Tamandua tetradactyla: one gene and its partners. The protein of the gene in region 1 binds, or shares a complex with, the protein of each later gene. Links are inferred from orthologs where the notes say so. Each region holds a gene or a part of one and is shown in the gene's direction. Other genes may lie near its edges.

Region 1 (7,503 bases):
AATCTTTTTATTTTAAAAATCAACATTAATATGCACCAGTAGAAGCATTTCAGAATAATTCACAATCAATTCTTATAGAATGCCAACTGAAACTACCTTTTTATATGACAACTAAAACTACCTTAGAATTATGAACAACTATTTAGAACTTTCTTGGGAAAGAGATATAGTTGCCCAAATGAATTACTGAATGACTCACCCGCAGGATTTATGTCCCATTTGTTGGTGTAGTATGGGTAAGTATGGTAAGGGTGATCATATAAAATTTATGGTTCAAACCTGGTCACTTTTGAGAGTAAAAGTGTGAATGGGGATTGCCGTAGGTAACTGGACATATGATCATCACCTTATCATATTCACCCACACTACACTGGAGGAAGTTCACTCTCAGGAGGAACATGTCACACCTTTATTTAAATATACATTTATAATTTGTGGTATATAACAATCCATTTTAATTAGATCATGGCATATCTCATTTGTCAGTACCAGCTCTTATTCAAGCAATCAACTCCCCTATTTTTCAGGGTAAGATAATACTGAGTTCCTTTGTAGATCCAAATCCATCAGAACTTAGTAAAAGTCAGTTGCAATAGGCATTTAGCCAATTGTTTTTGATATATTGTCTGACTTTCTTAGTCAAACACATTATTAAATACTAAGAAAGGTAGCATATATAAACTAGTAAATCAGTCTTAGTTACCTATATGTGGACCTCATTCAATGTCTACTTATTTCAAATTTAAACAATTTTCCGCTCTTTTAAAACCCTTATTATAGCAATTTTTTAAAATAACATTATGTTTCCCTCAAGATGATAACTTAAGATATGCATGCAATTGGAGTGAAAAATTAGCCCATTAGTTGTAATGATAGATGGAATAACTTTTTGGAAAATAACATCTTCACTCTCAATGACTGTCATGGATCCAGGCCCTTTTACTAAATGTAATTTATTTTGCTTTGCTTTGAGAAATAGCTTGAAAAATGCTAGCAGTAATTGGTAGGTAAAATAATAAACAGTCAGATCGAGTGCCTTGTTGGAAGAATTTTTATTTTAAAATGAAGATTTTACTGATTATTTGTTTCTCCTTACATTATTGTTGCATATTTTAATTAGGAAGAGTATATATAATTTTTGACTGTGTAATTTATCTCCAGGTGTAAATAATAACTGTCAGATATTACCAAAACAAAGGTAATAAGGTAATAATACCTTAAAAATTAATATATTGTTTTCAAAGAGCTTATTGGACCCCGCTATTCTTGTACTCTCACCAAAGAGGTTCGATCCATTATGCATCATGTAAAAGTGTTTTGTTTTGCTTTGGTTTGCTTTTGTGGCAGAATTCTGCTTCAAGGCAGTTTTCCAAGTCAGTATCCAAATGAATTAAAAATAAGTGGTCAGTTCAGCCTGTTGAGACTAAATTTGTCAAACCACATTTTGGGTCTAATTTGATTAACTAGATCAAACCAAATAGTAACCCAGAGACTTTGCATTAGCTTCCCCCTGAGCATGATTCAAAGTGCAGTTCACATAATAATCACAACTCATTATTGGGAGACTAGTGTAATTTTGAGACTTACTTGGGGCCACAAATCTATCTCTAGGTTAATACATCAGCTGCTGAATGAGGGTTCTTAAAGGAATAAATGTAACTATTCAGTTATATGTATCAAATTTCACCTGTATATTATTTGACCCTTCTGCAAAAACACCTTTTGACAGTGCTCTGCATGGCTTACTCCACACTCTGCTGGCAGCATCAGTTGCTAATTAGAGAAAATCTGGCACTTGATCCTTCATGTGCTAGGCGATCTATGATGGAAGCAACTATAGAGCAGGACTTATCCTATTCTTCCTTCACTCCTCAACACAATTATTATAGTACCAAGCTCAAAGTAAGACTTTATCGTTACTTATTAAATGACTGAGAGTGGTTTTAATCTGTTCCGGAACAAGGATTATAATATAAGTACATGCATATAGAGAGCATGCATATAGCAAGGCTGAACTAATTAATTAATGCCACACTGGCTTAGAATCAAACCACTGATTTTTTTTTTTTTTTTGGTATGCTTTATGGTGGGGGTCACGTCATTCTTTTTCCATGTGACTACCTCATTATTGCACCATCATTTGTTGAATTTTCGTTTTGGGGGGGGAGAGGTGGGGAGTGCATGGGCCGGTATCTGAACCCAGGTCTCCCAAATGGCAGGTGAGAATTCTAACACTGAACTACCTTGAATCTCACCCCACTGATTTTTGAAATATTTTCATTTTTGTTTTACTGTAGTTTTCCAAAGAGATTTTGTCATGTTTTAGTGTGTCTTTAAGGGGTTTGCATTACTTGTCTTTTCATTCCCCCCTTCAAAATCATTATATCATTAAAGTTATATTTTTAGGAGGTGGCGCTGATAAAATGGCAGCTCTTAAATATGTGATTAATGGAGGGTAATTTGCATATTATTTCTAAATAAGACATATATGATGCTAATAAAAATTATCCAAGAGTCATCATGAACTAACACCTTAGGCCCAGATGCCTGCCCAATAAGTATGAATACTATAGCCAATACTAGCCTTCCCATTTTAGTACAGTACCTGATGTGTGGTAGAGGAGAAAAATCACTGGATTAAATATCTTAAGACTTATAGTGCTAAGCAGGGATTTTTCCATGTACCAACATATACTACAGTTGTACAAATAAAATTGATAAATCTTTGGTAGAACAAAAATTTTAGGGGACTCACAGGCTTATATGGAAAAATTTTAGCTTTTCATAATTTAATACAATTCAAACAATGCACATTGATTTCTTTCTAGGGGTCATAAATTATGCCAAGCATGGGAAATGAGAAAAATACAAGGATCCTGATCATGCAGATATTAAAATCTAGTATTCACTTCTGTTGTGAATTTTAAAATGAAGATAACAAGAACTAGAGAGTGTTTTTGGCAATGGTCATACCAAGTTAAGTTTCAGTTCCAGGGCTGGAATTTACAATCCCCATGCTTTGTACTTTTTTCTCACTCATTCCCAGACTGAGTTACCTCCACAGCTTCGGCTGAAAATAACCACGTTGGTTTTCTGATTAAATGGTCATTGTGTGTAGAGCAAGTCACAGCGTGCAACACTGACTTCTCTTCTCAAGGGCTGAAGGAAGCAGCTCAAAATGAAGTTCAGATAAGCAGTTCCCCAAAGGAAATCAGAACCAGACCCTTATCTAGAAAATGCAATATTCTATAACTTGACAATTTAAATTGTCTAGTTGTTTTCTATTTCCCAAAAAAACAATTTGGTGTAACTCAATTTCTTACAAGTCTTTCCTCTAAACTATAATCAATGGAGATTAGCCGCCATTAAAATCAAAGATTATATAATCATCTTCTTCCATATCACAGGAGTGTGCTGCTTCAGAAACATACTATCACTTTAATTTATGTTGCCTTGCCCTCCCATAGCTATTTTTGCTGATTAATGCCATAACTTGCCTTTACTCAGAGCCTCTGGACTCAAATTTGCTAAGAATTGAATGATCACAATGTCTCATCCATTTCTAGATGTTACAGAATTGGTTGATTCGGAGTCTAGAGATAATAAGGGATTTTCAGATATCTTTGATCCATATCTTCTATTTTACAGACAAGAAAATTGAAGCTCAAGGAAATTAAGTGATTTCTGTGATACTTAGGTTTCAGGAATTTTAAGTATTGTACCTCACACATTTACCATACTGTCAAAGATGAAAAATGTATTTCAAATTTACAACTTCCTTTTCTGGAGCTTGTGGGTGATTTATTAAACACAGTCAGAATAAATTTTTATTTTTGAGGTAACATTTTTTTAAAAAATCAGACCAAAAGTTTGTTATATGGTTTACATTTTTTCCATAATATTATGGTTATTAAACGGCTGCATTTTCTTCAAACCTACAGTATAAATTATTTTTCATTTTATAGGTGGTAACATAATTAAATCAATCTCCATTTAAAATATGTGCAATGATTTTTAAATTATGTGTATGTTCTCAAACGTCTGCTTTCTCGAATATATATGCTTAAATATGAAAAATAATGCTATATGTATGCATATATACATGTACACACATGCATAGTTATTTCATGAACAAAGTAAAAAAAAACCTACAGGATAAAATTTCTTGATCTAATTGAGGAAAAGCGATCAAGGAACAGCATCTAATTATCAGAGTTCCAATTTAATAAGAAGCAGATTATGGAATTAATTATGATGAATGCAGTTATTATGTTTTCTTGCTCACTTATGAAGCGAAGAATGTTAGACCAAATTTTGTCCCGGCTGTTTTGTAAACTGTGATTCACACAGGCACACACCTAACTCCTTTGATTATTTGAGAAGAATATTATATTCAGATTTCCTTCAAATCACGGGCAACTCTGGTTGGCAAGTTCTAACAGAACTGAGTAAAACTGAAACACAGCCCGCCTTTGCTAGTAACAATGCATTCATACAGCATATGATCTGTGTCTGTTCAGGCTGCTTCTTGCTCTTCTGTCAGAATAAGAAAGAGTACTGCTTTCCTGGGTGTGCTATTTGAGAAAGAAAGTAACCTAACACTAACTGCAGGCGGGGTCAGAGTGATGTAACAGGAAGCTCTGATGTTTCCCTTCTGCTGCTGATCATTTAACAATCTGCAACATTTCCAGTCTACTCAGAACAACCCTCCTCTCTCCAGCAGAGAGTGTCACCTCCTGGTTTAAGATCATCAAGCTCTGCTAACTGGATCTCATTCTGCCTGCAGGATCCCATTGCAAGGCTTTCACTTTTCCCCACCTTGACTGGGGGTAAATCACTTCTGTGGAATCTCAGAAACTCAAATTTCATCCTAAGAATATTACATCAAGAATTTCCTTAAGAGCTGTGTGTGGGTAAGTATGTTATTCAAAATAGATATGCTTATTCTGAATAGTATTCCCATGTAGTTTAACTATGTTTCTACAACAAAATTTAGTTAGTGATATTGAAATTATGTTGAAACATAGTCTCATCTATTTTGCATGTTAGGAAAACTATAGCATATTTGCCCAAAAAGGCATATAAAATCTATTGCTACTAGCTACTATAATTTACAGTGGTATTCAAGAAAATAAATTCAGCAATACTTAAAATCTAAAATGGATCAAAAGGTATACTTCTGAACAAATATCTTTATCAGGGAGCAATGCCTTTTTAAATTAGCCCTATTATTTGCTAAGCTTTCTTCTAACAGCTGGAAAACATTGAAGAATTTTTTTCTTTCCATAGAATTGATATTCTAAGAAAAGGATAAAAGAATAACTATTTGGGGTCTGGGAATATCACTCACTGTGTGACTGAATATAAGGGATAGTTGAAAGTAATCACTGGTGGATTCATTATATTTGCCTTCTATTTGTCTTTTGACTCTATGTACACATGTATCTCTAACTACTGAATTAATGGAATTTTCATTGTTCATTGTGGTCAGATGTGATTATGGCTCTCTTTTGCTAACCCTGAATTGTTTCTTTTGTTTTGGGTCTTGGGGTGGGCTTCAAAGGAAAACTAGAGCTAAGGTTGAAAAAAAATGTACAGACAGTAATATATATCAATCTTAATTTCTTTAGCTAATAGTTGGTGTTTCTTCAACCTGTTGGTCTTCTTTTGAAAGTTCTTGGGGGAAGAGTGTGATATCAAGATATGTAGGGCTAGAGAAACATAACAGAGGTGTCGCAAATGAGTGTATCAGAACATTCCACAAAGAAATTAAAGTATATATAAAAAAGAATTCCCACAACAAAACTCACCAAAATGTTGAGATAAAGCATCTGTAATGCTCCTTCCAACAGTACAGACTGTCCTGAACAATTTAAGAAAGTCGTGTTTACTAAATTAGTTGTTGGTATAGAGATATCACAAATCTGTTGCAAATTTGTCAGATTTGGGTTCAAATTAAAATGACTGACACAATTTATAATTAATTTATTTTCTTACCTAAATGAAATTATACTGTGCGCAACATCCTTCAATGGGAGCATCCTATATTTACTTACCCATAATCTGGCGCAGCAACACTTGGCTAGAAAATCATCCTGAGTAAGTCCTTAGTAATTTTCCGCTGGAAATACAATATAATGGAAACTTAAAATAGCCTTACACTTGAGATACTTTAAAAATATTGCGGCTGATTTCCTATTTCATTTCAATCTTTAATTATATTATGTTCCCTCAATATGTGTGGAAATGGGAAAAGGGATTTTAGAATGAGATTTGTAAGTAGCCATTAGATATCTGGGAGGGGAAATGGAAAGAACGTGTTTAAATGCCTAAAGCAATGCCATGGTTTTGGAACAAATTAAAAATAATTTTATCTTAATTTAGATTATTTTTTAGAATTATATGTTATATCAAGTTAATATATTTTATAATAAGGAACTCCTACCACTTCTCTAATTTTTATTTAATTGCTAGCCAAAAGACTCCATGATTACATAATTAAATATTCAGAACTGTACTAATAATATGGTTTTAAATCCTGATTTTCCAAAAATACCACTGAGAAACACTAGGCAATGAGGGTCATTAGGCAAAGACATATAATTTGAGTAAATAACTGGACTTTTGAAGTAAAAATTTGGTATTATTATATTCTAAATTTGTCTCCTTTAATTATAAGAGAATATCAGAATATCTGTGCGTTTAGTCATAAAAAATGAACTTACTTTTATAGATGATATTTCCCTATAGCATCATAAAATCAAGGCACTAAATCAACAACCAATACTTAGTATCTATAATTAAACAGAATTGAGATATCACATGAACAGTGTGAGCTGAAATGTGTTTTACCCAAAATATTCAATTATCTTAAATTGATGCAGCCTCTCTTTTTTTCTTAATATATGTTAGTTAGCACATGCCCAAATATACCTTATTAGGTTAAAATATATACATTTTTAAAATAATCAAAGTATTTATTCTTTTTGAAAAACTAGGAATAACAAAAGTAAACAGAAATAAGAGCTAGATCTGCAATTTTAAAAATTGTTTTAAATGAATGGTCCAGATGTATGTGCTTTACTCCCTGATGCTTCCTAAATTTGATGAGGTTTAAATGGAGTCAACACCGTGGTATATTTATAAGAACCTTTACATTTGCCTGTGTATGTTATGGCATTATTTTCATGAATACCAGCAATTAATTTCAACAACAAATTCAAAATATTAAGACAAAAATATCATATAAGCTTTTGATAAAGTGGGAAAGCTCTTTGATAAATACATAAAAATGAGCTGAATATCAATCACATTATCACATATTTAAGATATTCATAATATTCTAATTAAGATCATATGTGCAACCATTATAACAATATTTTGCTATCACTTTGCTCTCTATATCATTAAAATTTGTTGGTAACTGAATTTTTAAGGGTCCCCTTGACCTTATTAGGAAAATTAACAAAACAAATTTTAAGGGGTCAAAATATGTATTCTCCA
Region 2 (6,911 bases), on another chromosome or scaffold:
TCCAACCGAGAAAGAAATGCTGAACATCATCAGTCTTCTTGAACCAAGGTATCTTTGCCTGGATGCCTTAGGTTGGACATTTCTATAGACTTGTTTTGATTCGGACAATTTCACAGTCTTAGAACTGTAAACTAGCAACTTATTAAATCCCCCTTTTAAAAGCCATTCCGTTTCTGGTATATTGCATTCTGGCAGCTAGCAAACTAGAACACTTAGTATTGAGCAGTCCTGGATTCAAATCCTGACTCTGACAATGATAAGCTCTGGGACCTTGGGCAAAGCATTTAAACTCTCTGATCCTGTTTCCCCATTTTACTCATGAACAGGATAGTTCTGATCCTATGGGGTAGGGCTTTAAGAAATGCATACAAAGCACCTGGCACATGTGTCAGAGAACACACTATGAAGACATAGTTAGGTGAGCATTCAATAAATGGCAGTTACTATTCAGTCCCCAGCGGTTGACGAGGAATACATTTTCTCTGCTTCTTTCTAACTCAGGGACAAATTTTTGTTTAATAACAATTCTCTTTAGGAGGTAATCAAGTTCATCTCATTCTGTAGCTGAGGAACCTGGGGAGAGATTGAGTAGTTGTGTCTCTACCCCTTTGCTTTCCCTCCTTTAGCCAGCTGCCTCCCTGGCTTGCAGCTTCTCAGGTCCTCCCTGCTTCCTTTGATCCCTCTGAAGAATCAGACTCTTCTCAGGAGGGACTTCTAGCTTCTCTGACCCTCTCCCTCACATCTTCTCTGGCGCTCTACTCTTCATTTTGCAGACAGTTTGGACAGAGGCCAGCATGTGTGAATGTCTCTACATGGTAAAGATGCTACTTTCAGGGTGCATATAATTTGCATGGTGTAGGGGGCCCCCAGTGCCTTTTACTCTCTTCTATGTTGTTCTGGATTTAGTGGTTGCATCACCTCTCCCCTGCTCCAGGCAGGAAAGCCCTTGGCAGATAATAAGAAGGGAATTTTTTTACATGTCAGTAAATTCCAGAAGGAATCAATCTAGGTTGGGTCCGGAAATCGCTAGACAATGACCAGCTGGACCGGAATCTGATCCTTTTCTTCCCAGGCACTGGCGGGGAGGAGGGGGGCAGATAGAAGAAAAAATATCTGCCCACTGGATATTAGAAAAAAGAGACTAAAAACAATATTATGCTATGTTAAAAGGAAAGAGGCACATTTATGTATAGTAACATGGAAAGATATGCAAGACCTATTAAGTTTAAAAGTCATTGACAAATAGGTACATTAAATCCCATTTATGTTGTTTTTAATCTAAAATATGTGGGGAGGTAAGTGAGACAGGGTGGAGTTATAGTTTTCTATGTTATGTAAATATTTTACAATTAGTACATACTTATATTTTACCTGTAATGAAAAAAAATTTTTTTATAGCGAAAGCAGAAGTGGGCTAAAAGAGAAGTTAAAGGCCCCCAAGGATGGCTGGAAAGAGGGGGCTTTCCATGATAAAAACAGCCTCAGACCCTGAAAAATCCCTTCCCTGTCTCATATCTGTAGATCATGTGACTATCTCCTATGGCAACTTGGAACAGGAAGGTAAAGTCTCCAGTCTCCTGTTAAGCACTAAGGGGCCCCTATAGCAGACCCTCAGTTACCAAGATGTCCAGCAGTCAATGAAAATATCCACCAGATATTAAATAGGGAAAGGGGGAAAATCAGTAGATTCTCCAATGGGAGGATCTGGACTTCTAAGTTCAGGAATGGTTACATAAGCTCTTCTTTGTAGGTCATTACATTACCATACAAACTTAAACCCAACCCTAAGTTAAACATAACACTTCCTACTGAGTCATCTACATTTCCCTTTTTATTCTACGGCAATTTTATATGTGAAAATGTTGAGGTCCAGAGATATAAAGTGACCTGTCCAAGGTTACACAGTAAGACAGGGGCAGAACCTGGCCTCAGAATCCTAACCATTTTAGGATATTTTAGCCCATTATACCATATTGCCCTATTTCAAACCCAGCATTTGCTTTTGACAACTTCAGTCTTGTCCCGTCCTTAGTCCTAACCCATAGTGGGCTCAGGGGCTTCTGGACCCAGCCCAGTGAAAAAGTCTGGATTTGCTTTCTGTCCCTTGTTGTGCCCTCCTCCCATCTTATAACCCAGGAATCTCCCTCTCAACCATAGCTTCTTCTTGAAAAGGGTACTCGCGGATATTCTGAGAGAAAAGATAGCATTTGGTGTCCAGTCGAAAGTGGCTCTGAAAGAAAGGTGACTCTTCTGCATCACTGCAGGAGATGACCCTTAAAGGTTAACACCAAGCAGGCCACTTCCCCTCTCCCTCTGGAAGCTTTGCTAAATTCACCTCCTGACCCCAGCCGTGGAGGAGGACAACAGGTTGTCAATAGCCACGATTTGAGAGCCTGAGACCCTGAAATAAAGATTTTAAGAGCAAGAGACCATGAAAATTTGCACACCAATGTTTATAGCAGCATTATTTACAATTGCAAAGAGATGGAAACAGCCAAAATCTCCATCAACAGAAGAGTGGCTAAACAAACTGTGGTATATACATACGATGGAATATTATGCAGCTTTAAGACAAGATAAACTTATGAACCATGTAATAACATGGATGGACCTAGAGAATATTATGCTGAGTGAATCCAGCCAAAAACTAAAGGACAAATACTGTATGGTCCCACTGATGTGAACAGACATTCGAGAATAAACTTGAAATATGTCATTGGTAACAGAGTTCAGCAGGAGTTAGAAACAGGGTAAGACAATGGGTAATTGAAGCTGAAGGGATACAGACTGTGCAACAGGACTAGATACAAAAACTCAAAAATGGACAGCACAATAATACCTAATTGTAAAGTAATCATGTTAAAACACTGAATGAAGCTGCATCTGAGCTATAGGTTTTTGTTTTGTTTTGTTTTGTTTTGATTTTACTATTATTACTTTTATTTTTTTCTCTATATTAACATTCTATATCTTTTTCGGTTATGTTGCTAGTTCTTCTAAACCAATGCAAATGTACTAAGAAATGATGATCATGCATCTATGTGATGATGTTAAGAATTAATGATTGCATGTGTAGAATGGTATGATCTCTAAATGTTGGGTTAATTTCTTTTTTTCCGTTAATTAAAAAAAAAAAAAGAGAGAAGGGATAATTGGAGATGAAGGGATACAGACTGTACAACGGGACTGGATATAAAAACTCAGAAATGGACAGCACAATACTACCCAATTGTAATGCAATTATGTTAAAACACTGAATGAAGCTGCATGTGAGGTATAGGTTTTTTGTTTTTGTTTTTTTTGTTTTTTTTTCTTTCTATTATTGTTTTAATTCTTATTCTCTTGTCTTTTTATTTCTCTTTCTAAATCGATGCAAATGTACTAAGAAATGATGAATATGCAACTATGTGATGTTATTAAGAATTACTGATTGTACATGTAGATTGGAATGATTTCTAATTGTTTTGTTAATTCTTTTTTTAATTAATAAAAAAAAAAAAAAAAAAAGAGAGACCATGAAAAATAATTTGTGGTGGGCAAGAATCACTCAACTGGGAAAACAGCAGCTGCTGAGTCCAAGGGTCAGTGTCTGGGAATAATTTAGCAAAGTTCAGTGCTGACAGCTGTGTCTGAGTTGAACGTCATGGCCGTCCCAGCTCCTGGGCTCCTTGGCTGCTTTAGGCTAATGAAGCTCTGGCCCAGGACCCAGAGGCAGCTGTGGTTTAGCTGGGCCCTATGGCCCCAGGATCAACCTTTTTACCTCCTAGCAGCGTGACCTTGGGCAAGTCACTTAGGAAAGGATAAAAGGAAATTAGCATCCGCTGAGTACAATGTCCTTTTGCATATTTCATATTCACTAGTTTGGTGAGGAGGGTAATGCTGTCCCTGTTTTACATGGGAGGGATCTGAGTGTGTGAAGGTCAACAAGTCAAGGCTATACAGCTGGGGACCGCGATGGTAGGGATTAGAATCTAGACCTTCTGACAAGTCCTGTGCCCTTGCTCTGGGCTTCAGCCTCTTTCTCTGTAAAATGGGGATTATGATATATCCATCTCAAAAATGAAGTTGCAAGTTGTAGGTTCTAACAGCCACCCCACTTCTTTCTCATGGCCTTGACCTTTAGGGTGGTAGCTACCTTCTTCCTGGGAATGCAGTCATCTTACTTTTGCCCCTCCCTCCCCAACAGTTTGTGGATCTAGGGCTCAGGCGGTGCCTTGAAGGGAAGGCATTTGGACTTTGGTTTCCCCTCTTTCTTCTACCTCTTCTCCAGACTCTGAGGGCTAGCTCACTCTTTTCCGCCCTAGCTTTGGCAGGCAGGGCCAACAGCAGTGGGTGTTCCCAGGGAAAAGGAACTCTGAGCTGCAGGGCCCAGCTCCAGGCGCCCCTTCTCCCACGGCCCAAGACAGCCTCAACTCCCTGCCTTGGATCCTGCGGGGTCCAGCCTTCCAGCCCCCCTTTCCCGCTTCTTTAGGTCCCGGAGAGCAGCTTTCCCACTCCCACCTCAGCTACAGTGCCCCCCAGAAAAGGGGGCGACTGGAATCAGGGACGCAGATGCAGTGAGACCACGGAGAGTACTGGGCGCCATTCGGCCGAGCCCAGGAAACAGATCCCGGTTCTGGGGTTTCGAGGGGAGCTGTCCAGCCCCGCAGGGTGAGCTGGAAGAAAGGCAGGCCCGCGCCGCCAAGGCGGAGGGAGCAGCAGGCGTCAGCGGCCGGCGGCAGCCGCGACTCCCCCTCAAGCTCGCCCCCCGCCCCCTACGTGGCTGCAGCCGTCCCAGCCCCTCCGAGGAAACGGAGCGGCTTCCTGCACTTCGGCAGGGGATATAGGCGGCCCCACCCGGGCCGGCTCAGTGCCGCCGCCACTCGCCACTTCGCCTCCCAGCAGCGCGATGACCTCGCTCCGGGCGGAGCGCACCGGCGTCCCGCGCTGCGCTGCGATCCGCGCCGGGCTGCCGAGAACGCTCCGCCTCCTACTCCTGCTGAGCGGTGAGCGCAGCGCCCCGGGGCCAGGGCGGGAGATGCGGGGGGCCCGGGAACCGTGCGGGGATGGACGGCCGAGGCTGCGGTGCAGATGCTGAGACACGTACGGACGAGCGCTGTCCTTCGGGATTCCCTGGCCCCAACTTGGTGCGGCGCCGCGCGAGCTGCTTCCAACTTGGGGAAAGCTCAAGTGCCCAGGGCCCAGCTGGGACGTCTTGGGAGGTCTGGGACTGACGAGGGCGGAGAGGGCTCTGGCGACTTGGATGTGAGTGGTACCAGCCCCTCCCTTCCTGGGCATTGAGGATTATGGTTTTTTTTTGGGGGGGGGGGGCTGTATTATTTCTTTTCTCTTCCAAGGGTAGTCCTGACCTCTAAGGGGCTCGGACCCAAATTCTTCAGGCTCCGCTGTCCAGGTCCCCGCCATCCCACCTCCCTTTCCTATATCTGCCTACAGTTGTTGTGAAGCCCCAGGAGTCCCTGGCTCAGCCTCTTCCCACCTCAGGCATCTTGAATTCAGAGGGTGAGTACCAGCTACTACGGGAGGATGCAGGGCAAGGAGGGGAGCCAGATCAACAGGAAGGCTCTCTTTCCCTCCTGGCAGGCCTCAACCTCAAGTGGTACCCCACTAAACCCTCCTCTTTTCTCTCTTGTGATTCCTTGAGGTGTTTTCCCCTCTTATTCCACAATGCCCCTGCCCGGCTCTGAGGTGGCCCACCTTACAGGTGGGTGAGAAGACCCCATGAAAATAGGTGTGCTTCAGCTCTTGTTAGATTGGGAAATATGGTACACATGGAAGGCATTAAATTCCTGGGCCTGGACTGTCTCCTTAGCTAAAAGTGTCATGCTTGGGAAACTTCTCAGGCATTCCTGCGGGTCCCTGTGTTTGAAGAGAGGAACAGGATTCTGAAGAGAGGAACAGGATTCTTTGCTGGAAGTATCTGGGACAGACGGTTTGGGAGGAGGGGCAGGGATGGGATCAATGTGGAGTATCTTCCCTCCACAGGGAAGACAGTGGAGGAGGAATATGAGACAAATGTCCGACAGTGCTGGCAGCATTATAAGGCTTATATGGACTCTATTCAAAAGGATTGGTGTGACTGGGCCATGATTAGCAGGTAGGGGCAGTGCTGGCCGGTGGCTTGGGCCTGGGTGGGGCTGCTCCTTACAGCTGTACCTTGAATGAGTGTGGGGCAGTCCTCTCTCTGGGCCCAACCCCTCACTCAAATCCTCTCCCATCCCCAGGCCTTACAGCAGTCTGCGAGATTGCTTGGAGCTGAATGCTGAAGAGTTTGGCCTGGGCTTCCCCAATCCCTGGGCCGAGAGGATCATCTTTGACACTCACCAGATTCACTTTGCCAACTGCTCCCTGGTGCAGTCCACCTTCTCTGACCCCCCAGAGGATGTGCTCCTGGCCATGATAATAGCCCCCATCTGCCTCATCCCCTTCCTGGTCACCCTTGTGGTATGGCGGAGTAAAGACAGTGAGGCCCAGGCCTAGGGGGCACAAGCTTCTCAGGGGCCATCTTCCCCCTCCCCCCTACTCCCACAAAAATCTCTCTCCTCCCTTCTCTACCCTCTTCTCTCACTCCTACCCCTACTGCAGGTCCTTGGATTGGTGGAAACCAAGCTGGTGGGGTTACACAGCTTTGTAATCTTTAAAATAAACTTTTTTTTTTTTTTACAGTGTTGCTTTCTCCATCCCAATGAGGCCTGTGTCCTTCCCAGACTCTCTGCCACTCCCACAGGCCCTCAGCTCTGGGCAGCAGACTCTGGATGGCCACTTCCCCTCACTGTCCCTCCCCCACCTGAAAACCACACCCCTGCACTTCTTCCTCCCAGGCCAGGCCTTTCCTGCCCCTTTCCAAACTCTGCTCCAGGAAACATGCAGGAAGAGACTCCCTTCCGGTCTGGACAACAGATGGGGGCCAGCAG
Region 3 (6,925 bases), on another chromosome or scaffold:
TACAATTACCACCTTCTCTGTGTTTTATTTCACTGTCCTGCAGCAACTTACCTTATTTAACTCTCAAAGAGGTTTGTCTTCTGGCTTTATCACATACAAGGACCGTTCTGAACAAGAACAGACTGTTTCTATCTGTTTTGTGCAGGAGCATAAAAATGAAGCAGCATGAGCATTCATTTTCTTCATACTGATGCTTTGCAAAATACTATGCCCTAAAGAGAGAGGTTGAAGAGAGAGACATTGATTAACTGTCTTCCCTGCCTCACCTCTCCGAGCTAGTTAAAAATTAAAGATAAACTGCTTTTATTCTGTGTCAGAACTCTTGACCCCTTGAAACTGTTTACCTATTTTATACTTAAATTGGTTTATTTATATGTGCATTTTCCTGGAAAGGATCTATATTTTTATTAGTTCCTTAGAATAGTCAAAGATCCCTCCAGAAATGTCTCCAAGCCTTGTACTCTGCTTTACTTTTCCCTGTGAGTGACCAAATTTGCAAGACTGATTGTGTCCTTTCTCTAAACCACTTTGTGTTATCATCTGGGATACTTCTTGAATCTTGTTTTCATAGAACTTTATTTAAAAATCCTCAGATTACCAGAGGCAATTTTAACTATATGAATAATAAATGCATCATAAAATTTCCTGCTTGATAAAAGAAACATCTGCGATAATACACAATGCACTTATCTACTCACTTTTTATTCTTATTAATATCAATATGATTTATGATTTATTTCTTCTCATCACTTTTCTGAATGACCTGTGGGTGGTCACACTGGTTTAGGGACTGTGCGCGTTGTGTTAGCTAAAATACACCACAATTTTTTTTCAACCCCAAACATTACTAAGGATAAAGCTTCAATTTACTGCTAAAAATAATTCAACTGGAATGTGAAAAAGAAATTGAGTCACTATCATGGAACAAGCTTTTGGCATATTTAGGCTTATGTGTGTATATACAATGCCAAGATAAATACACTTATTATAGTGCCTTGGGGGGTTATTTAGGATCTGGCCTCTTAAAATTCTTGGGTGCAAAAAAAAAGTGGCTCTTCATTGACCAGGATTCCTTTTCTTTTTTCCTGCCAGCGACATTTTAAAGATGTTTCTTCCTTCATTTCCTTCCTTCCTTCCTCCTACTGTCCATGCTCAATGTAAGTTTACAATCATTGCAATTTGGATGGGTGAAACTCCATGTTAAGTCACTAAGAGTAGAACACCCGCTGCAGTGTTTCCTTCTAGACCTGACCTATTGAACCAAAAACACATTCTAGTGATTTGTTCAGTCTTTAATAAGCGAGTACGAGATTCCACGGGCGGGGGTGGAAATAGATCTCAAGATTTGGCAAATTCTTTTATTATTGTTATTATTGTTATTATTTTACTTAAACCCCAGTCACTTTGGGGATCATTCTCGCCCCTGCCACGCGCACACTCATACTGTGAAGTTAAGGGTGTTTGGCAAAATCCACTCAGCTGCCAAACCAGGAAGTATTTACAGAGAAAATTGACAGAGTTCTCAAACATGAGATCTCAGCTTGAGTTAGTTCTCAGGTTATCAGCACCTGGGCTGATAAGGCGCGTGCCAAGACCGCTCTAAGGTGGGAATTTTGGCATTGCTGCACCACCGCTGGCGTAGGCACTGGAGCTGAGCATAGCAGAGCTGAGTCTCTCCTCCTGGGTTCACTTTGCTTGTTGAAACCGCACGCTGCTCAAAGCGAAGTTATCGCCCAAAGCGCGCGCTTCTGCAACCTTAGCGGAGAGCTCGGGTTTCTCTCGCGGAATCCGGAGCTTTCCTGAAGGACTCATAGAAGAATCACCAAAGTGCAGACGCGGAGTCCTCTGTAGACAGAACCCACCTCCACCCCCACCCAGGGCTGGTGGGGACTGGAAGGAAAGAGTCCAGACCACGGGACTATCCTTGGCTGTGGGGCGGCCCCCATTCGTCCTTGACTTCCCAGTCTGCTGGTGGCACACGTTGGGGAAATGAAAGTAAAACCTGTCCTGGAGCGGACCCAGCTGGAAGCTGGCGACAAGTAAGTCGCAACCTCCTACACACTGCCAACCCATCCTGGACAGGGTCGGGGCAAAGAACTTGACTCGCAGGGGAGGAAGTGAAAAGAGGTGGTTAATGGAGGATGAGCGAAAAACAGAATGGTTAGCTGGGTAGGTTCCTTAAAACAGAGGAGTCGTTCGGTAATACCTGCTGTCTGCGGTGCAGACAGACCTGCTGAATGACCATGTCTGCTGTGGTGAACGCCCTGAGGCGAGCCAGCCCGCCCGAGCCCTGCCAGCTTGCTGCGTTGCGCCTCTCTGACACTCGACGCCCGGACCCCTTACAGGAGCCACCGCCAGGAACCTGCCCCCCAACACCTCAGAGCTGGAACTCTGGTCCGCTCAGATGACTTCGCACGGGGAACAGTCCTCCGAAAAAATAGCCTCGGTGTTGACATTCCTTTCCCAGGTGCAATGTCCACGGTTCAGTCCTGAGAGCGAAAAGGCGCCTGAGCCAGCAGCGAGCGGCCCAGACCACACTGTGGGCAAGGTCAGTGCAGCCGAACGCCCAGTCGCCCTTGCAATGGGTCTCAGGACCAGTATGGTTGAACTGGTAGGAAGCTTAGAGAGCTGCTGCGGGCGCGTTATAGACGGGGAAACTGGAAAGGAGGAGTGACTTGTCCCAGTTCCCAGAGCGAATTGCCATCGGATGAGAGCTAGAAACCAGTCCGCAGAATCCCAGTGGTCTCGCGTCCTCAGTCTCTCAGTCTAGGTACTGGGCTTCAGGACTTGCGGCTGAAGTGGATGATAGGACACCAGAGAAACGCCTGCAAGAAGTAGGGAGTCCTGCGGGCTGAACCTTCCCGTCCCAGTTTGGCCCCCAAGTAAGAATAAGCAAGTGAAGTTAGGAAGCAGCTATGGAAGAGCACAGGTGACAAACGTGTTTGGGGTGATTCATCATGAACAGGCACAAATCCTTGGGCGGGCGCTGGAATTCTCCTCTTCCCCCTGAAAAGGTGGTGACCCCAGCTCTAAAGAATCCACACCACGCCCCAGTATACCCTGCTTGCTTGGGGCCGAATTAGAGCTTCACTTACTAGCTTTAGTGTGACTTTGGGCAAGATACCTCACCTCTCTGAACTTCAATTTTCTACTTGATTAAATGGGAAAAGCAATGTTACCTTCCTCGCCCAACCCAAGGGCTAGTATGAGGATGAACGATCAGGATGTGGCCTTGCACTGTAAATTGTCAAGCGATTAACATAGGTGAAGCATTAGTGTGTTCCCTGGCAGTCAGTCAGTCCTCACGTTCACAATGGGTGAATGAAGGATCCGAGGGCAGCCAGACTAACTCTCAGGTTGTAACCTTATAAGGCATATTTGGATTACGAGGGAAAAAATGAAATGGTATCTTTCTTCCTAATTTTGGTTATTCCTTTATTTCCAAATAGCCACGTAAATTCTGAAATTTCAGATAGCTTCCCCCTCCAAATTCCAATTCTCATATCAGACTTTTCGGAGACTTGCCCTTATTGCGAAATTTTATCAGCAGGCCCCGGAACCCTCTACTCCCGGGGTCTCGGCCGTTCTCTGTAGCTGGCCAGCCCAATTTACCTTGGCTCAGCTTGGTGCCCTGCCCCTGAGGCTCCTGGCGAGTCTGGGGGCGCGGCCAGGTAGGCACCGAGACAGCAGGGGGCGCAATCCACCCGAGGCCAAAGCTCCCCAGATCCCGGCTCTGGCCCCCCGCTTGGTGTCCCCTTCCCGGCAGGGTCATGCAGTCCCATGCTAGGAGCCCTTAGGACTCTAGACTGCATAGGTCCTTAGGACCCAAGAGGTTGTAGTGGCCCTACTTGACCGGCCTTGAGATTTGAACTCTGTCCAGAGAGTCAGGGCTATGATAGTTTCTGCACCAATATCCTGGAGTCCTTCTCTGAACCCTTCGCGCACGAAAGACCCCCAAACCCTACACCCACTGGCAAGCAATGCGCGCGCCCGAATGTAGGCGCGCGCGCGCGCGCGGAAAAAAAGGGAGGGCGCAAGGGCAGTCCAGGCCCCGCCCCCACGCTCTTATAAAGCGGAGGAATCAGAGGCGCCCACTCAGTGGTTTCTTGGTGACACCAGCAGAGCTGCTCGATCCTTGCCACTTCTTGCTTCTCACCGCGGCCTGACATAGACACTGAGGTTTGCCACAGCCAGAGCGACATCTAGGACTTTCTCTTCGCAGTACTTGGCAGATCACCCGCTGAGCAGGTAAGCACCGCAGGCCCTGTGGTTAAGAGGAGGCGGGGGGCGGGGCGGATACCCTTATGGAGGCCGGAGACTGGTGGCTCTAGGTGAGAGGTACAACTCATTTGGAGGGTCCTCTGGACCCAGCTCGTGCACACAGCTGGAGCTCCAGCGACCCTGACCGCTCTGGTCATCTAAGTCCCGGAAAGTTGAGCAGGGAAACTCTGGGAGCTTGGCGCTGTGCAGCAGCCTCCCCCATGGGGCTTGTCACCCGCCTGGCGGGTGCAAACGCCACTGGCGCCTCTTTGCGCCCGGGGGAGATAAGCGTCTGAGTTCCGCGCAACGCGGGCTGAGCCCGCCAGCGCCCGAGCTGCCGCCAGTCCTCCGTGCCCCACCCGGGCGATGCGGCTGGCTCCCGCGCTCACGCTCCGCACTATTTTTTCTCTCCAGGTTCTGCGTATCGCCGCTGTGATGAAGCTGGTTCCCGTCGCCCTAATGTACTTGGGCTCGTTAGTCTTCCTAGGCGCGGATACAGCACCGCTTGACGTGGCGTCGGAGTTCCGAAAGAAGTGAGTATGGGCAGTGCCTTCTTTAGTCCTCTTACCTGACAGACAAGGGAAACTCGTCGCTGGACCCGAGGGACCAGGGACCAGCCCTTGGGGTCAGGCGCACCATCCCGCGCCGGCTGGGTATGGGCCGGGACGTGGCTCGGACGCACGCGAATCGGGTCTCTTGTCTTTTCTAGATGGAATAAGTGGGCTCTAAGTCGTGGGAAGCGGGAACTGCTGGTGTCCAGCAATTACCCCACCGGGCTCGCTGACGTGAAGACCGGGTCTACCCAAACTTTTATTCGGACTCAGGACGTGAAGGGCCCCTCTCGCACTCTGCAGGACAGGTAACCACACCAGGTGCCGCCGAGGGAGTGGATGTGGGGGACCTGGCCCAGAGGATACTCGGGGCTAGGTGGAAACTCAGACAGCAGGAGCGGTTTCCAGCTGTCTCGGGTCCCAGAATGGCTCCTATACCTCCTGGCTCCGGTCAAAGCCCTGTTCGATGGAGTCTCACATTGTCCTTCTTTCCCTCCCCAGCAGCCCGGATGCCACCCGCGTCCGAGTCAAGCGCTACCGCCAGAGCATGAATAACATCCAGAGCCTGCGGAGTTTTGGTTGCCGCTTCGGGACGTGTACTGTGCAGAAACTAGCGCACCAAATCTACCAATTCACAGACAAGGACAAAGACGGCGTCGCCCCCAGGAACAAGATCAGCCCCCAGGGCTACGGCCGCCGGCGCCGGCGCTCCTCGCCGGAATCCGACCCGGCCCGGACTCTGCTGTCTCCTGAGCCAGTGGCACACGGGTCCTCGGTCTCCCAGGCGCACTAAGCGCTCGGCGACCTGCTCAGGATTTAAGCGCCTGTGGCCGCCGAGAACAGACGCGCAAGCACCGCTCTGGCGCCTCCCCAGGCGGAGGGCTTCTGCGAACCAAGGCCCTCGGCCGGATCCGGACCGGTCTGAGCAGAAGCCTTGCAAATAACCGGAGTCGGGTAGGGACCATCAGACGGCTAGCCCTGGCTTTGCAGGGGCCCCTCCTTCTCCGGGGTAGAGCTGTCTTCGCCCTAATCGGGCCCGAATGCCCCGGGGTGGGGTGGGGTGGGGGTGGGGGTGTCAAAGGAATCCGAGAGAGTGTCTCCCTGGTTCACCGAGAGGAGAAACTGAGACTTAAATGTTGAGACCCCCGGGGCAAGGGTCTGAGCCACTGCCGTATCCGCCCACAAACCCATTTTTCACGGAATGTCAGCCCACCGAGGTGCAAGCCTCACTACTACTTGAACTTTCCAAAATCTAGAGGAAAAGTGCAATGCGTGTTGTATATACAGAAGTAATTATCAATATTTAAGTTTGTTGCTGTCTTTTTTTTCTTGGTAACTTCAAATATAGAGATATTTTTGTACGTTATATATTGTATTAAGGGCATTTTAAAGCAATTATATTGCCTCCCTCCCTCCTTATTTTAATACGTGAATGTCTCGGCGAGGTGTAACATTGTTGTTTGCTGCGTGGAATATGTGAGACTGTGTGTGTGAAAGAGAGACTGATTACCTGCTGTAGAAGAAGGAAACACCGTGTATAATCTATTTGTATAAAATGGGTAGGGATATGCGAAACAGCAAACTAATAAACTGTTTCAATGATGATGATGTGTTTTCGGCTCACATGTCTCGGGATGGAGGGTGCCCCTCATTTTGGCAGGCCAGGGAGCCGTGAAGCCCTAGCTGGCTTCGGAAGATGGGACAACGGCTAGGCCAGTGTGCTGGCCCTTCTCCGGGGACGATATGGCGCGGTCAGAGCTGTCACGAGTCCGGCTCTCCCTGTGCAGCGCGCGGAACGCGTGTACTGGGCGCGATTCAGGGCTTGGCGGAGACGCTCGAGGTCACCGCTTCGCGTGGCGGCCGGGCCGGGCGGGGTAGGGTGCGCTCTAGTGGGGAAGAGAGCCTGGCCTCTCCGGGTTGCGCAACAGAGTCCCAAATTTATGGATTTGCTTACCCAACCCAGTGTGAAAATGCGCCTAGGTGAGATGGGGTGGTCTCCGAGACCTACTAAAGGAGGGGTTTCCCCGTGCTGCCGTGGATGTTAAAATTAGAAACTATTCCAGCAAAATGTCTGGATATCTCCCTGCAAACCGCAGCTGGACCTGGTCAATAAC
Region 4 (7,737 bases), about 54 Mb from region 1:
ATATCATCCTCAATGGGGAAAAATTGAAAACTTTCCCCCTAAGATCAGGAACAAGACAAGGATGTCCACTATCACCACTATTATTCAACATTGTGTTGGAAGTTCTAGCCAGAGCAATTAGACTAGAAAAAGAAATACAAGGCATCAAAATTGGAAAGGAAGAAGTAAAACTATCACTGTTTGCAGACGATATGATACTATACATCGAAAACCCGGAAAAATCCACAACAAAACTACTAGAGCTAATAAATGAGTACAGCAAAGTAGCAGGTTACAAGATCAACATTCAAAAATCTGTAGCATTTCTATACACTAGTAATGAACAAGCTGAGGGGGAAATCAAGAAACGAATCCCATTTACAATTGCAACTAAAAGAATAAAATACCTAGGAATAAATTTAACTAAAGAGACAAAAAACCTATATAAAGAAAACTACAAAAAACTGCTAAAAGAAATCACAGAAGACCTAAGTAGATGGAAGGGCATACCGTGTTCATGGATTGGAAGACTAAATATAGTTAAGATGTCAATCCTACCTAAATTGATCCACAGATTCAATGCAATACCAATCAAAATCCCAACAACTTATATTTCAGAAATAGAAAAACCAATAAGCAAATTTATCTGGAAGGGCAGGGTGCCCCGAATTGTTAAAAACATCTTGAGGAAAAAAAACGAAGCTGGAGGTCTCACGCTGCCTGACTTTAAGGCATATTATGAAGCCACAGTGGTCAAAACAGCATGGTATTGGCATAAAGATAGATATATCGACCAATGGAATCGAATAGAGTGCTCAGATATAGACCCTCTCATCTATGGACATTTGATCTTTGATAAGGCAGTTAAGCCAACTCACCTGGGACAGAACAGTCTCTTCAATAAATGGTGCCTAGAGAACTGGATATCCATATGTGAAAGAATGAAGGAAGACCCATATCTCACACCTTATACAAAAGTTAACTCAAAATGGATCAAAGATCTAAACATTAGGTCTAAGACCATAAAACAGTTAGAGGAAAATGTAGGGAGATATCTTATGAAACTTACAATTGGAGGCGGTTTTATGGACCTTAAACCTAAAGCAAGAGCACTGAAGAAGGAAATAAATAAATGGGAGCGCCTCAAAATTAAACACTTTTGTGCATCAAAGAACTTCATCAAGAAAGTAGAAAGACAGCCTACACAATGGGAGACAATATTTGGAAATGACATATCAGATAAAGGTCTAGTATCCAGAATTTATAAAGAGATTGTCCAACTCAACAACAAAAAGACAGCCAACCCCATTACAAAATGGGAAAAAGACTTGAACAGACACCTACCAGAAGAGGAAATACAAATGGCCAAAAGGCACATGAAGAGATGCTCAATGTCCCTGGCCATTAGAGAAATGCAAATCAAAACCACAATGAGATATCATCTCACACCCACCAGAATGGCCTTTATCAACAAAACAGAAAATGACAAGTGCTGGAGAGGATGCAGAGAAAGAGGTACACCTATCCACTGTTGGTGGGAATGTCAAATGGTGCAACCACTGTGGAAGGCAGTTTGGCGGTTCCTCAAAAAGCTGAATATAGAATTGCCATACGACCCAGCAATCCCATTGCTGGGTATCTACTCAAAGGACTTAAGGGCAAAGACACAAACGGACATTTGCACACCAATGTTTTTAGCAGTGTTGTTTACAATTGCAAAGAGATGGAGACAGCCTAAATGTCCATCAACAGCGGAATGGCTAAACAAACTGTGGTATATACATACGATGGAATATTATGCAGCTTTAAGACAGAATAAACTTATGAAGCATGTAATAACATGGATGGACCTAGAGAACATTATGCTGAGTGAGTCCAGACAAAAACTAAAGGACAAATACTGTATGGTCCCACTGATGTGAACGGACATTCGAGAATAAACTTGGAATATGTCATTGGTAACAGAGTCCAGCAGGAGTTAGAAACAGGGTAAGATAATGGGTAATTGGAGCTGAAGGGATACAGACTGTGTAACAGGACTAGATACAAAAACTCAAAAATGGACAGCACAATAATACCTAATTGTAAAGTAATCATGTTAAAACACTGAATGAAGCTGCATCTGAGCTATAGGGTTTTTTTTGTTTGTTTGTTTGTTTTTACTATTATTATTACTTTTATTTCTTTTCTCTATATTAACATTCTATATCTTTTTCTGTTGTGTTGCTAGTTCTTCTAAACCGATGCAAATGTACTAAGAAACAATGATCATGCATCTATGTGATGATGTTAAGAATTACTGATTGCATATGTAGAATGGTATGATTTCTAAATGTTGGGTTAATTTCTTTTTTTCCGTTAATTAATAAAAAATTTAAAAAAGAGGAAACATTTTGGAAAATGACAGCGATTCAGAGAGAACAGAGCAGAGCAATATAGCCGCAAGAGGCAGAGTCTGCCAGCCAGCAACCTTTGGAGAGGAAGAAGGAACACACCTCCCGGGCAGCTTCATGAAACAGAAAGCCAGGAGAAGAAGCTAGCAGATGATGCCGGGCTCACCATGTGCCCTTCCAGATGAGAGAGGAACCCTGACCAACATACTTACCATGTGCCTTTCCAGATGAGAGAGGAACCCTGACTGTGTTCATCATGTGCCTTTCCAGATGAGATAGAAACTCTGACTGTTTGCCATGTGCCTTCTCACTTCAGAAAGAAACCCTGAACTTCATCGGCCTTCTTGAGCAAAGGTATCTTTCCCTGGATGCCTTAGATAGGACATTTCTATAGACTTGCTTTAATTGAGGCATTTTCTCAGCCTTAGAACTCTAAACTACCAATTTATTAAATTCCCCTTTTTAAAAGCCATTCCATTTCTGGTATATTGCTCTGGTATTTCTGGAAAGATTAGCTCAGAGTGATTGAATCCAAGACCCATCCCAGCACAACTATTAGATTTCAAAGGTGTTCTAGTTTGATGGCTGCTGGTGAGCAATGCAGTCCTGCCTCTCATTGGTAAAGCCAATGGTGCCCTCCAGCAAATTTGGGGCTGATGTGAGCACCAGTATACAGGAACCATGTGGAGTTATGGGCACGGAGGACCTCCTCCTCTCCTGCCTTCTCCCAGACTGCCTTCAAGGACTGCTGGGGGCTGCCTTTTCTCCTGTCTTCCTTTATCCTCCCCTTGACGTGCAGGAGAGGCAGGGGCCCTCTGTGCCCATCGCGCCACATGGTCCCTGTATACTGGTGCTCATGTCAGGCCCACATTTGCTGGGGGTCACCACTAGCTTCACCAATGAGAGGCAGGGCTGCAGTGCTCACCTGGCAGCCTTGCACGCAGCAGGCACTCCCAGGTCTGTCCAATGAAAGAGGTGGGGGTCAGGAAGTGAGGCTAATCAAGACAGTGTGTGCCCTCCCCTGCCATCTGCCTACCCTCCTCTCCCAGGGCCTTTGGGACTCCCAGGTTGGAAGTGTGTGGACCTTGGTGCCCTTCTGCTTGCTGGTATCCAAGAGTGGAGATGTGGCACCTCTTCTCTGAGTTTACAGCAGGTGCCTGCAACCTCAGCCTCAGACCCTGCTGTCTTGCCCTCAGCCTAAAGACAATTCAGTTTACCCCTCCAGTACTGACCTGATGAATGGGTGGGCTCATTGTGTTGAGTGCATGAAGCTTCAGGAAAAAGGCATTGCCGCCACAAAGCCTTCCCCTCGGGCTGTGGTTTGTCCCCTAGCAGGAGTATGAATTTACTCTGTTGCCGAAATGGAACCAGCCCAAGGAGGAGTCCTGCCACCATGATGGCTCTGAAAGCCCTACCTAGCCACCCCAGGCTGATGCTTCCTGGGTCAGACCTATTCCCCCCCAGGTTTCCCTTCCCCACAAGCACTCACATGCCCACAGAGAGCTCTTTTCTGACCATTTCATGCAAACTCCTACACCCAGTCTTTGCCACTCCTGCCTCCCCATCAGCCCACACAGAAGCCAGAATGCAGCTCCCAGGGCAAATCTTAACCCTATTTTTCTACTCGAAAGCTCCTCCATGCCTCCAAGCTCAAGATCAGGCTTCTGACAAGGCCCTCACAGCCTCCTGCTGGGCTCCCAGCCCCTCTCCAACCATCCTGAACAGGAAGCCCACCCTGGCCACCTTACAGGTCCTTCAAGAACCCTTTCCTACCAGTCCCCAAGCCCTCTGTGACTGCGGTGCCCTTCTCTCCATCTTCACGGTTCCTCCTTTAGGTCTCTGCATGTATTCAGTTTGTCTCTGTGAGTGTTTGCCCTGAGGTTACTATGGATCTGCCCCCATAGAGAAGGAACGGTGGTCCTGGGTTTTTGCAGAGCTGACCCTGGGGCAGGCGTGGCCAGAACCGAGGCAGGGGGTATGGTGCTCGGGGGAGCAGAGTGCCTCCCACTCGGAGTTGTCTAGGAGACCCACCCTACTTGTGAAAGTGCTCACTTGTCCAGGGAACATTTCAGGCGCGCCCGCGCCCTGGGGAGCAGCGCCGTGCCTCGGGAAGGGGACGCGCTGGTTTCGCCAGGTCGCGGCGCGCTCACGGTGGGCTCGGGCCGCCGGAGACGGGAGGAAAGCCTGTAGCCGCTTCTCCCCGCGCCCGGGCTGGGCAGGTGGTTGGACTCGGCCCGGCGTCCCGCTGGCCCCGGGCCCGCCCCGCCCCCCGCGGACCGCAGTGGGCCGGCCCGCCCCCGCCCCCGTCCCCGCCCCCGTCCCCGCCGCGCCTTCCAGCCGGCGCGGCGCTCGGTCCCCGGCGCGCAGCGGGCGCACTCGGCTTGCTCGGTTCCTGGCGCCATGGCCCCGGGCCTGCGCGGCCTCCCGCGGCGGGGCCTCTGGCTGCTCTTGGGTGAGTAGAGACGCGGCGGCCCGGCCTGACTTCCCGAGGACGCGCGGACCCGCTGCTCCGGAGCGGGCGGCCAGCCTCTTTGCACGGAGTCTCCGGGCGAGAAGGTCGAGCGTCTCAGTGTCCGGGCAAGGGATGCCGCCCACGGGGAAGAGGGGCAGCTTTGGGGGTGTCGGGGAGCCAGGGCGTGCCGAAAGACACCGGGCAGCTTTCCCCCGCACCCCGGGGAACTTGTCCGGCAGGATGACAGGAGCGCGCGGGCTTCCCCTTGCGTCCCTCACCCCGCGTCTCCTTTGGCTCCGAGCGGCTTCCCTGAACCCCTTAACGAGATCAGAAAGGTGCTCCTGGCGGAAGTGTTGGGGAGTCAGAACCGCAGCCCGTCTGCCTGGCTGCTGTACGGAACCTGACTGTTCCAGGCAGCAGTCGCTGCTCTGCGGATGAGCCTTCTGGGGTCCCCTCCCTTCCGCACGGCTCCCTGCTCGGGGACGCTTCCACAGCCTTTCTTTTTCCTTTTTAACTTGGCACTTCTGGCTGATGGCAATTGAGAAAGGGACTCTTGATAAGGTGGCAGAACGTGCTTGCCCTTCTGATTTGAGAGATTCTAAATGGAAACCCCAATGCCACCACGCTTAGCAAGACTTCACCAGAAATGTCTTCTTCACTATCCTGCCTCTAGTGTTTTTACACAATGCTGAGCCGAAAAGCCCTATAAACTGCTTCAACTATTAGACTGTCTCACTGTTTCGCCATCCTTTAATGGAAATGGAGGGGGTCACTTAGGTGAGAACCCGGTGCCCTGGGACGCGGCTACCATGCGTACCCGTGACTCTCCCAGGACAGGTGCCCTTGGCCCGAAGCCCCTGCTGCACACGTCCCTGGTCCTGACAAAGGGCTGGCCAGCGTCGTTTTGAGCCTTGGAAGCAGCTTGTGTCTGTGGAGTGTTGGTTCAGGCACCACAAGGAGGGTGCAGCCACTCACATCTGGTTAAATATGATATAATCCGAAATTGGCTGAAGTTACATGAAAAGCAAAATCTTGTGATAGAATTATCTTCCTCTGTTGTGCATGACTCTGGCTCCACGTGAAGCTGTTTCCATTTCTTAAGAAACTTACTGTCAGCATGGAGAGAGTGAGGGTGCGTGATGTTTCTTCACAAACAAATCGAGATTTGTTACTGGCATCCAGAGGCTGTCCCCTCTGAAGCTCGTGCACACAAGACCCAAAGTCATGACCACGTATAAAAAAGACCTTGTTTACCGAGGAAACGACTTTGGTTCTGGGGAAAGGCCAGAATCCCTGAAATCTTAGCATTATTCTGAGTGGTCTGGCTAGCATCTCTCTTGGCAGAACAAACACCGCTTTATGAGGTTATCACTAAATTAATGTCATTGGAGACCAGCAATTATTAAAAGAATGACCGAGCAGGCGCTGTCCTCTTCCTTCCCGAGTGGCGGCACGGCCAGGCCTGCTCAGCGATGGAGATGAGCCACCAGGAAGGCCGCGTGAACTGCTTTCTTTAAAAGCGTGCTGGTGCATAAGCTGAAGAACTTGTCTGTGGCTGTTTCGAGCTGTTTGTCTTCTGCGGTCAGCTCGCATTTTCGTTTTTAAGATCTCGGGTTATCTGCGTTTTCTGTTAACTTCATGTGTCTTGTGCAGTTTCCTGGTTCTTAGAAGCCCCTGAGCCCTGCACCTGAAAGTTTTGCATCCGTGGGAAAAGAAGGCAGTTTGCAGATGATAACGCGTAGGATGGTCCTGCTTGCAATGACCCCCTCCTCAGAGTGGGGGTGGGGGTGGGGGGGCACATCCTTCTCTCCTGGTCCTTGAATCTGGAGGCACTTTTAACCCCAAGGTCCAAATTTGAAGGGTTTTTATCTGCTAATCAACAAATTAGCAATTTTGTTGCTTGTGTGCCCTCTCTGAGTATTTCACTGCAGGGAGAAATTTCTGGATTTTTCTGTTCCATAGGCCAGTCAGGTGGGGTCTGGGCTAGGGGTTTTAAAAAATGTTTATATCCCAACTAGAAGGGGATCAAGCGACACATGAAGGAAATGCTGTAGGTGGATTTCTTGCTTAAGGCAAATAGTTAATTGGGAAAGTCCATTTCTCCTGATTTCCCCCCCCCATCCCCACCCCCATCATTGAGTCCAGTTTCACAGCTCCTCCTGTTAAATTGGCGCCTGGGTAAATGAGTTGCTCAGGTGCCCTATGGTGTGATGTGGGTTCCAGTTAAATGCTGACTGGGAGCCCTGTTGACTGGCTGTCAGCCCCATCCCCCCCTCCCGTAGGCACACAGCCCGCCTCCCTGAGGGTCCTGGGGGGGTACTCCCCTCTCAGCAGGCCCTGACTCAGGCCTGGAGGACGTGCCCCAGGCTGGCCGTGGGCTTTCTGTGGAGCCATCAGGGTGGGGCTGGGGAGTGGGTGTCTCTGGCCTCTAGGCTGGATCCCCTCTGTGGGCTCCAGCTTCCATCCTGGGAGCCACTGAGGGACGCCTATCTGTGACATGGAGAGCAATAGACGGGGCTGCGTTTGAGCCCTGCCTGAGCCCGCAGGGTACGGCCCCTGCAGCCTGGGGTGCGTGTTTGGGGAAGGCCTGAGGGTATTGCAGCCAGGAGGGCCAAGCAGAAGTGGAGATGGGGAGGGGGCCTGGGCTGAGGCAGCCCGTGGCTCTGCCCTGAGCTGCACTGTGGCCAGCCCCTCACACTGTCCCAGCAGGACTCGCCTGCCCCACCCACCACACCCCTGGGGCCCTGCCTGCCCACTCTCACCCCAGCACCCACCCCATGGGGTCTCTCCAGAGATGCCCTTGTCACCAGCCCTCTATCCAGGACCAGGTTAGCCTCTCCAGAAGACCTGGGAGGGGTTGTGTCAACACAGCAGCGGAGGGCACCCCGGACTGGCCTTATCCGTTTTGGCATA

The links.
Region 2: the proteins of CALCRL (region 1) and RAMP2 are in contact, whole or in part, in a crystal structure (PDB 3AQF), measured with the Homo sapiens proteins. The link is inferred for Tamandua tetradactyla from reciprocal best matches to the Homo sapiens genes CALCRL and RAMP2. Residues at the interface, in NP_001258680.1 of Homo sapiens: Arg38, Asn39, Ile41, Met42, Thr43, Gln45, Tyr46, Glu47, Tyr49, Gln50, Lys51, Ile52, Met53, Gln54, Trp69, Asp70, Gly71, Arg119; in NP_005845.2 of Homo sapiens: Trp86, Ile89, Tyr93, Ser94, Arg97, Leu109, Gly110, Pro112, Glu117, Ile120, Phe121, His124, Gln125, Phe128, Ala129, Cys131, Ser132, Leu133, Val134.
Region 3: the proteins of CALCRL (region 1) and ADM are in contact, whole or in part, in a cryo-EM structure (PDB 6UUS), measured with the Homo sapiens proteins. The link is inferred for Tamandua tetradactyla from reciprocal best matches to the Homo sapiens genes CALCRL and ADM. Residues at the interface, in NP_001258680.1 of Homo sapiens: Val36, Thr37, Asp70, Gly71, Trp72, Asp90, Tyr91, Phe92, Gln93, Asp94, Phe95, Asp96, Pro97, His114, Ser117, Thr120, Trp121, Thr122, Tyr124, Thr125, Asn128, Val135, Ala138, Leu139, Leu141, Phe142, Thr145, Thr191, Leu195, Ala199; in NP_001115.1 of Homo sapiens: Cys110, Arg111, Phe112, Gly113, Thr114, Cys115, Thr116, Val117, Gln118, Lys119, Leu120, Ala121, His122, Gln123, Ile124, Tyr125, Gln126, Phe127, Thr128, Asp129, Lys130, Asp131, Lys132, Asp133, Asn134, Ala136, Pro137, Lys140, Ser142, Pro143.
Region 4: the proteins of CALCRL (region 1) and RAMP1 are in contact, whole or in part, in a cryo-EM structure (PDB 6E3Y), measured with the Homo sapiens proteins. The link is inferred for Tamandua tetradactyla from reciprocal best matches to the Homo sapiens genes CALCRL and RAMP1. Residues at the interface, in NP_001258680.1 of Homo sapiens: Asn39, Met42, Thr43, Gln45, Tyr46, Glu47, Tyr49, Gln50, Lys51, Ile52, Met53, Gln54, Thr68, Trp69, Asp70, Gly71, Arg113, Arg119, Thr120, Phe228, Leu231, Ile235, Thr239, Val243, Ala244, Gln250, Trp254, Tyr255, Leu258, Phe262; in NP_005846.1 of Homo sapiens: Trp59, Ile63, Tyr66, Arg67, Ala70, Phe83, Trp84, Pro85, Asp90, Phe93, Leu94, His97, Gly98, Phe101, Arg102, Cys104, Pro105, Ile106, Ser107, Gly108, Arg109, Ala110, Val111, Arg112, Asp113, Pro114, Ile118, Leu119, Phe122, Ile123.

The regions. Positions count from the first base shown.
Region 1 is NC_135329.1:160,930,841-160,938,343, reverse strand, and holds the start of CALCRL (calcitonin gene-related peptide type 1 receptor), read left to right. Parts: upstream 1-4,498; 5' UTR 4,499-4,913; intron 4,914-7,503. UniProt on the Homo sapiens protein: G protein-coupled receptor which specificity is determined by its interaction with receptor-activity-modifying proteins (RAMPs). Together with RAMP1, form the receptor complex for calcitonin-gene-related peptides CALCA/CGRP1 and CALCB/CGRP2.
Region 2 is NC_135332.1:24,492,325-24,499,235, reverse strand, and holds RAMP2 (receptor activity-modifying protein 2), read left to right. Parts: upstream 1-3,911; 5' UTR 3,912-4,888; coding exon 4,889-4,985; intron 4,986-5,433; coding exon 5,434-5,499; intron 5,500-5,982; coding exon 5,983-6,094; intron 6,095-6,221; coding exon 6,222-6,477; 3' UTR 6,478-6,658; downstream 6,659-6,911. UniProt on the Homo sapiens protein: Accessory protein that interacts with and modulates the function of G-protein coupled receptors including calcitonin gene-related peptide type 1 receptor (CALCRL) and calcitonin receptor (CALCR). Required for the transport of CALCRL to the plasma membrane.
Region 3 is NC_135334.1:85,045,990-85,052,914, forward strand, and holds ADM (pro-adrenomedullin), read left to right. Parts: upstream 1-4,084; 5' UTR 4,085-4,248; intron 4,249-4,674; 5' UTR 4,675-4,695; coding exon 4,696-4,793; intron 4,794-4,969; coding exon 4,970-5,119; intron 5,120-5,312; coding exon 5,313-5,604; 3' UTR 5,605-6,416; downstream 6,417-6,925. UniProt on the Homo sapiens protein: Adrenomedullin/ADM and proadrenomedullin N-20 terminal peptide/PAMP are peptide hormones that act as potent hypotensive and vasodilatator agents. Numerous actions have been reported most related to the physiologic control of fluid and electrolyte homeostasis.
Region 4 is NC_135329.1:215,246,910-215,254,646, reverse strand, and holds the start of RAMP1 (receptor activity-modifying protein 1), read left to right. Parts: upstream 1-4,726; 5' UTR 4,727-4,772; coding exon 4,773-4,824; intron 4,825-7,737. UniProt on the Homo sapiens protein: Accessory protein that interacts with and modulates the function of G-protein coupled receptors including calcitonin gene-related peptide type 1 receptor (CALCRL) and calcitonin receptor (CALCR). Required for the transport of CALCRL to the plasma membrane.